Drosophila melanogaster: one gene and its partner. The protein of the gene in region 2 purifies or fractionates together with the protein of the main gene of each other region. This does not show direct contact. Each region holds a gene or a part of one and is shown on either strand. Other genes may lie near its edges. The genes, in order: mil and Mst77F.

Region 1 (3,925 bases), on a different chromosome or scaffold from region 2:
GCACCAGCATTACGCTTCCGGCAATTCGGCGCTTCAAGATCTCCAAACCGAAATGCGAAGTGGTCGCCAATCACTTGGAGGAGTTTGAAAGACTTCCGGAGCTGGAGACACAGGAAGAGGATGACACGGTGGTGGTGATGCTGCAGCCACCGCCGCGCGCCGACGACGAGCAGCCACCGAAATCGCCACCGCCACAGGAGGTGGTGGCTCCTTAGAATATTGTTTGTAAAGATTCCGTCGAAGTGGGCCGTGCTGGATTATTTTATTTTTTTTTAAGAAAAAAGACGACATGGCCAAGCCGATGGATCCACAACGCTGGCTACAAGCGAGTGCTGTAGCTCAGCCATCTAGTATTACGTTTGACTATTCGAGTCCTTGTAATATATACACGCCAGGCTAAACGCACTGTATAAATCAAAACCACAATTCAATTCCTTTAGCTAGGCATTAAAAAGAGCGCGCGAGATCCTTTTGGTAAATATGTATAATGAAATGTTTATTTGGTTGGTATGTAGTGGGTAAGGACAGGCCAATAGTTCGGTGACTCGAGTTAAAAATGTATGTAAACTGTATATAAGCGGTGTAAAATGTTTACTTGTCGACGCCATCCTCCTCTTCGGCATCCGACTCGTCCTCGGTATCTTCCGACTCGGTCTCCGATCCGCTGGAGCTCTGACAATCGGCAATCTCGCCGGTGAAGAAGATCACCGCCTTGGGAATCACGCGCTCCTTTAGATAGAAGCCCACCTCAAAATCGTTTTGCAGCATAGCCTGTGGGAGGAGATGCATGTGAAAGGATCGCAGATCGCTGATATTCAATCTTACATTGACGTCACAGTAGTTGGGGTCAAGGGTATCTTCTGGCAAAAGCGGCGGCGAGAAGAACTCAAAGAACGACGGCTCTTGATTTTCTGGTCAATGAGTGAATTCAACTAACATCTGTGAAATTTGATGCTCCCAGATGGCTTACCGGTTTTGGTCTGGTCCTTGGTCTGCTTCCAGTCGATGACGCAGCCTTCGCACTTGTAGATCTCGGCGCCATCATATGCGAGCGGATCGTCTGGATCCGGCAGGCAGTTGAGGAAATATGTCTTGGTCAGCACCGTGTTGGTAAAGTAATCATTGGGATCGAAGTGGAATTCGATATCAAACTTCACCACGGGTTCGTTGTACAGCCGAGAACGGATGTCGCTTAAGCACTGCGCGGGAAAAATTTCAATTAAAATTTAAATATCCTTCAAATCGGATCTATCCATAACATACCTCTAATATTTTCTCATCCCTCTTGCTGATGAACTCGGTGTACGATGCTTTGAGAACCCTCAGCCAAAAGTTGGGCACGCTCTGATTGGTTTCCACGTCGCCGTGGTTTTGCTTTCTAAACTCACTGCACCGATGGGATTTTTGGGGGAATTGAGATCTTGTTTAACCAAACACCATTAATGGACTTACTCTAGAATCTTCTTGCGCTTATCAAATATGATATTGTGCTTATCCTCGTACTTCTTCTCGATATTGTAAATGTCGCGCTGCAGAGCCACATCCAGGTTAATGGTCTCCAAATAGAGCTGCTTCAGTTCGGTAAGAGTTTTCTTCTCCTTCTCGGTGAAGTTTAAATCCGATTCCATCTTCGGTGGAGCGGTGTACTTCATCCGCGGAGGGTTTCGATTTCGCACAGTTTCCATTTATGTTTCGACACGATAATCAAAAGAAAAATAAAAAAAATATTTCTTGAAGTGATTTGGTTTTGTTCAAGTATAAAATTTGGACGTGTGCGTTTTCGCTGTGACTGCCGTTGTGGGAATGAAAAGTAGCTCTATCAGTTTCCCAAAACTCCCAGCACAAAAGGCAAGGCCCGCTTTTCACTAAAGTGCTGGAACTAACTAGATGTACTAGAAAATATTAAGCAATTTATTATTCTTTTTTTTTAAGCTACATTTTTAAACCCTCGTGTTATTGCTGTTTTAGTCACCCCTTTCGCCTTACTTTGCCCATTGAGATGCAGGCCATGTTTATTGGCAATTTAACGCACATTTAATTCCTGCTCTTTTCCTGTTTATATATTTTTGGTTTCCCCAAAATTTTTTGTTTGCTTCCGCCAACTTTTCATTTGGCATGTAATTAAGTGTGGGCCAAAAGCTTGGACTGGGTGCCGCCAGCCTGGCCTAAGTGTATGCAAATCACGTGCTGAGTGCTGTGCCGCCAAGGGTTCAGGTTCAGCCATTGCCATCGCCATCGCCATCGCCATCGCCTCCTGGAGTCTGTTAAATGGACCGTGGACCCAGTTTCTGGTCTATCCGAGAGTCGCTTGTCTTTTGTCGCTGGTTTTAATAATGTGGGCCAGGCTTAGTGCCATATGTCCGGCTGTGAAAAACAACAGAAAAAAGTGAAAAAAAAGAGTGAAATTGTCGCTTAGGCAAACATTTCAAAATGAAATTATGAGTGGGCCAGTGGCGGCGGGCGAAAAAAAAGTGTAAACAAATTCAGCCAAGCGGAAGTCCAGACACACACACACACACACAACAACGCACACACACATCCGCCAAATGAAAGCCGCAGAGGATAAGCGGGAAAAGCGGGAGATCGCATTGTTGTGCGCTGTTGAATGTTTGCCCACAAATACAAACACACACGACACACGGCACATGCACTTGTCCAGTCTCCACAGGACATCCACCACTCGCTGCTCTCATATTTGATATTATTAAATTTTTTCCCTAAATACCGCTGGGAAATTAAAAAGAAATCATAACGCAAATAGTGTAAGGCAGCCAGGCATCTGATGATGACGGCTCTGGCTGGCCAATTTCCACATTTGTACGAGTGTATGCCTGCACTGTGCAAAATAATTGGTATGTATATATATTTCACGTCATTATCATTAGCAGGAATGGAATATGCAAGATAGTTAGGTATTAATCCAAATGAGATGGAAATCGATAGTTGGGAACTAATCAAGATCAACTAATCAAGGACTCTTCAAGTGCACAACCATTTAAGCTATTCGGGCATTTTCAATTTACATTTCGGTCATTCAATTAGGCGGTGCATAAAATGTAGCTACATAAGTAATGGAGCAGCCCCATCATCATCAGCATCATCAGGATCATTTGGAGGAACATGGGGACCATGGCCATCACCCACGTGATTGCCGCTCGTCGGAGGTCGTCAGTGCCGGGAGCGTCAACATAGTTTGAATTTAATTAAAACCAAAATTAGTAGAGCCCAGCAGAATGGAATGGTTTGGCGCAGCCCGACCAACCGGAGCAACAGTTACTTGGCGCAGGGATTAAAGCTCCTGCTTCAGCTCCTTCCTGGCAAAAGTGCATGTCTGCAGAAAATCGAATCAGGAGCTCAACATCCTCATCCACGAGCCAGGCAACCTGGCAGCCTGGAACTCCTACGTTTCCACCTGCTCCTGAAACTGAAGCAACGGCGCCATGCCGAAATATCTGCAACAAAAGCATAAGATGTAGTGCGGCATTTGATGATGAAACGACGTGTTAATTAAGGTCATAATAATTCAACTTAAATTGAAAACTTGCCCGGCCCCAGAAACGCAACCATGGCAGGGCATGGCACTCACTAACCATTTTTGGTTGGTCGGGCATCGGGCATCGGGCGAAGGGCATCGCATCCTCGGAATCCTGGCCAGGCTAAGCTGATTGCAACAAATTATTTTGCACCTTGGTTGAACTTTCCTTGAGCTGCAGGCAGCATGGCGTTCATAAACGAATTTTGTTAGTTTGCTTTGCTTATTTTAAATGGAACTAGGTGGTGGCCAGAACTCCCAGGATCTAGGATACGCGAGTGGCTGGTGCACCGAGGGACAGGGGCCAGTGTTGCCTTTGGTTTTGCATAAACCAGACAACGCATCTAATAAGTTGCAGCTGTCGGTTGCCACCGTTCTCCGTGCATTTCAGTT
Region 2 (3,925 bases):
TCGATATGAACGTGACCATATCAGACGCTCACCACTGCATGCAGCCCAAAAAAAACAACAACGTTTGACGTGCGTGAAAATTGGTTAAGTTTTATGAAAATAACTTAGTTAACTGACTTTCCGACAGCCATCGATCAATCCATATGCTGCGGGGGAGTGCGGGGCTAAGGGCATTAATCATTAGGACATTGCAAAGAGGTCCGGAAACGTAAATTTTGTCAAGTGAAAACGGGGTTGTGCTGTGTGTGTGGAAAACGGAACAAAACGGTGCCAAAAACGCAAGGAAAAGCTGCGAAAGCGGTGCACAGCAAACGGGTTGATAAAGCAGCAGGCTTAGATTTAAATTATCAGTGCTTTTAACCGATTTGCCAGCGAAACAATAACCGACATTCAATAACCACCCACACAAACGTATTGTGTACATAATATATACATCCATACCTACATACGTATATTTTGCGTAGTGCGGCGCTTGAAAGCTGTTTCCCCATCACCATATCATCACTGCCATTCATTGCAAACCCACTCTGGAATCCATCCCACCTCCACCGTACCACATGTCCTACATGATGGCCAAAACGCTGGAGGAGCAGAGCCTGCGGGAGTGCGAACACTACATCCAGACGCATGGGATCCAGCGAGTCCTCAAGGACTGCATCGTCCAGCTGTGCGTCTGCAGACCCGAGAATCCCGTGCAGTTCCTGCGACAGTACTTTCAGAAACTCGAGAGGGTGAGTCCAAAACCAAAATTATAAATAATACCATATATATTGGTAGATAAAATATGGGTAGAAATTTGATCAGACATAAAACCTTTATTTCTAAACAGTACAACCGCTTATCGTTGCCTTGAGGATCAATGCTTGGGCCTTCCTGTGTTATGTCCTTGGTTTATCAGATCCGTATGATCGATTTCTTAATTTCCTGGTTCACTGGAGGTTCCTCAAGTTCATAGATTCTAGCAACGCAAGTTGTTTACATCATTTGGGAAATTTTGACTGGTTCCTGATCAATAAAAATGGCCGAAAAGTGGTGTAGGAAAGGGTGTGGAAGATGAAACCTCCGATTACATCGAGCACTTGGGCTTGGAGCTCTTGGGCTTAAGACACCTTGGCTTTGCCTTCGCCTTGCCGCATTCCATCTTCTTCCTGGGGCGGGGACATGCCTTCCGGGGTCGGGCGCCCTTGGGCTTCGGTTTGCCGCAACTGCGACGTTGCTTCGAGGTTTTCGCCCGTGGTTTGGGGCAACTCTTCCGCACCCTGGGCTTGGAACACTTGTTCTCCTTTCTTGGAGTGCAGCTATTGGAGCCACCGGCACCGAAGAAAGTGTCTGCGCAGCCACTTATTTCAGAGTGCATTCTGTGCTCGCCCTCACTAGAACGCTGAAGACTGCTCACACTGTTGGGCTCTACATGAAAAGTGTCCAATGGTTCCTGCGGAAGTGCATTACGATTGCATACATGTGCATTTCGTTTGTATTCGACACCTAACTTACCGCAGAATACTGGCATCGATGACGGAATGACATTTCGTTCCATCGGGTTTCAGCAGCCCGTCTTATCTCGTTATTCGAGTAATATTCTCCGTAGCGCTTCTTAAAGTCCCTCAGAAAATTAACAAAGCCAGACGATGAGGCGTATTCGTCCTCTGCCCTATTGATATCTTCTTCAATGTCGGAGGCGTCGGAATTAACATATTCAATTGATTTTTTATAGGTTTTCACTGATTTTGTTACTGCCACCTCCGGCTTGCTATCCTTTTGTTTCAGATTACTCATTTTGCAACCAATTCTTGCTCGACAGAAATTTTCACAAACAAATTTGTTACTCAGAATTATACAAAAAAAAATTATATATGTATAAAAAACTGTACTCAATTTTATCGAAATATTTTAGTTGTTCCTCGTTCAAAGGTAGTGTACTAACTGTTTGTATGCTGGCTTCAGCGTGGAGACCTGGAAATTGGATTTGAATGAAGGCTCAATTCTACTATGATCAAGAAAAAGTTCCTTTTTTCAAACCAAGTTGGCTGTTTTCAAAGTACATTTCGCAGATCGGCGCCATATTTCCATGGTTATTTTTGTATACTATATTCGTTCAAGATATTGTAGGAGAAAATGTTTAATGTTTCTTGATCAGTATCAGTCGAGCTGGCCATATTCGTCCGTCCGTGTGTCTTGAAAAAGGTTTTAATATTCTGTTTGCAATCCGACTAGCTGAGTAACGCGTATCTGATATTCACGAAATAGAATAGCGTACTTCCTTGTTTTCAATGAAATGAAATGAACAAATATTTTACAAAAGCAATACTAAATGTTATATTATAATCTGAACAAAATATGTAAGAAATACCAGAAATGTCGTTGGTGAGGGAAGGTGTTTAAATTATCCTGTGCGACTACGTTCCTTTCCGGGGTTTCAACCACTTGGTAAGCAACAAGCGGCATTTTGCTGGTTAATGCTGCCGCTTAAACGAAAATCAATACAACTTGCGGTCTATTTTCGAGCGGATTGTTAAAAAAAAAACCCATCCATAGGTGGATTTCCCAGCACGGATGCTTTATTTTCGGCTTCCTGCTTCGGAGAACTGTATTCCCTCTGTTCATTGTGAAGCTTTAAAGTTTATTTTGTGAGACAGGCTGCAGCAAAAGCTTGCAATGCTGCAATGTAAATAGAGCAGCGCACCTGTGGAGGTCCTTTCCACATCGTCCTGTTCCCCCTCTCACTTGCCAAGCGACTTTCCTTACCCCTTTTTCTCCCAACTTTGATTTTGAGTACGCCTGTGTGTGTGCGCCGGACTCTCTGGGGCAAGTTGCCTGTTGAATGCCGGACCCGCTGTCAGTTGGATTAGCATCCTGACGCCGTGCAGAAGCATCCTGCTTCCACCTAGTTCACTCCGTTCGTTTGCTTTTTATTTGTTTGCCTCCGCGCGCCATGGGCAACCAGTTGAGTGTGAACAGCATCCAGGATGCGGTCATCGATCGCTTCCGCTCGGTGGCTTTGACCACCGATGCCAACGGCGCCATGCGCATCCGTTCGTTTTCGGAGGGCGTGGTGGCCACCACCCACCATCATCATCAGCATCAGCAGAATCAGCAGCAGAGTCCCCATTGCAGTGGACGCGGCGGACGCATCCTGCGCGAAAGTAGCATCGATGGCGGGGTGGCCATGTTCGATGCTCTGCTCCGCGATGATCACGAACATCGGCTGAGCTTGGATGCAGTGCATCGCATGCGGCATGTTCGCACCTCCTGCACCACAATTCCCGAGGAGGATGCCGTCAGCGATCGCAGCCTGCAGATTCATCTCTCCACTCTGGCCCGCGAACGTGAACAGGAACTTGAGCTTGAGCGCCAGCGGGAACGCGAAGTAAGTTGGAAAGTCGGAAAAGTTTCCAATTTCCGGAAAACAGTAGGAAATCACTAGGAATTTGTGCTGAAAAGCTTTTGGCGGAAAAAAGATTTAAAGTGTGGGAGTGTGCGCATACTAGAAAGCTTTGAATCGTTTGAAATTGGTGTCTTGTTGATTCGATTTGTGACTACAAATCACGATGTCGTTAGTTCTAACACAAATAAAAACATGCAAAAAAATGTTTACCTTATTCCGCGAGCACCTAATACCCTACTTAGAATATAAAAATTTAATAAAATATGAAAAAGTTTGCTATGTTTTACGTTAAGGCCTTTTAATTCTTTCAAAATATCTTTCGTATCTGAAGAAAAAGAACGAACAGGAAGAAAATGTTCACATTTTATTTAAACATTATAAATTTATTTTTTGCAAAAAGGTAAATGGAAAGGGGTTAATTTTTGGGATACAGTAGAATATAGTAACCTAAACTATATACTAATTTAAAGAAAGTGCATTTCATAATGCCCCACGAGCTGCTTTTTGCGACAAAATGTCGAGTTTGCACTTGAAACTCGA

The links.
Region 1: the proteins of Mst77F (region 2) and mil purify together in Drosophila melanogaster (affinity purification with western blotting; one study listed by BioGRID). This does not show direct contact.

The regions. Positions count from the first base shown.
Region 1 is NT_033777.3:27,910,328-27,914,252, reverse strand, and holds mil (milkah), read right to left. Parts: upstream 1,807-3,925; 5' UTR 1,686-1,806; coding exon 1,453-1,685; intron 1,388-1,452; coding exon 1,264-1,387; intron 1,200-1,263; coding exon 971-1,199; intron 912-970; coding exon 826-911; intron 772-825; coding exon 592-771; 3' UTR 468-591; downstream 1-467. Other genes in the region: CG5003 (uncharacterized protein), read left to right, coding at 1-215.
Region 2 is NT_037436.4:20,816,103-20,820,027, forward strand, and holds Mst77F (Male-specific transcript 77F), read right to left. Parts: upstream 1,926-3,925; 5' UTR 1,777-1,925; coding exon 1,495-1,776; intron 1,433-1,494; coding exon 1,067-1,432; 3' UTR 799-1,066; downstream 1-798. Other genes in the region: Pka-R1 (protein kinase, cAMP-dependent, regulatory subunit type 1), read left to right, coding at 2,933-3,367. UniProt on the Drosophila melanogaster protein: Not known. Encoded in the intron of cAMP-dependent protein kinase regulatory chain type I.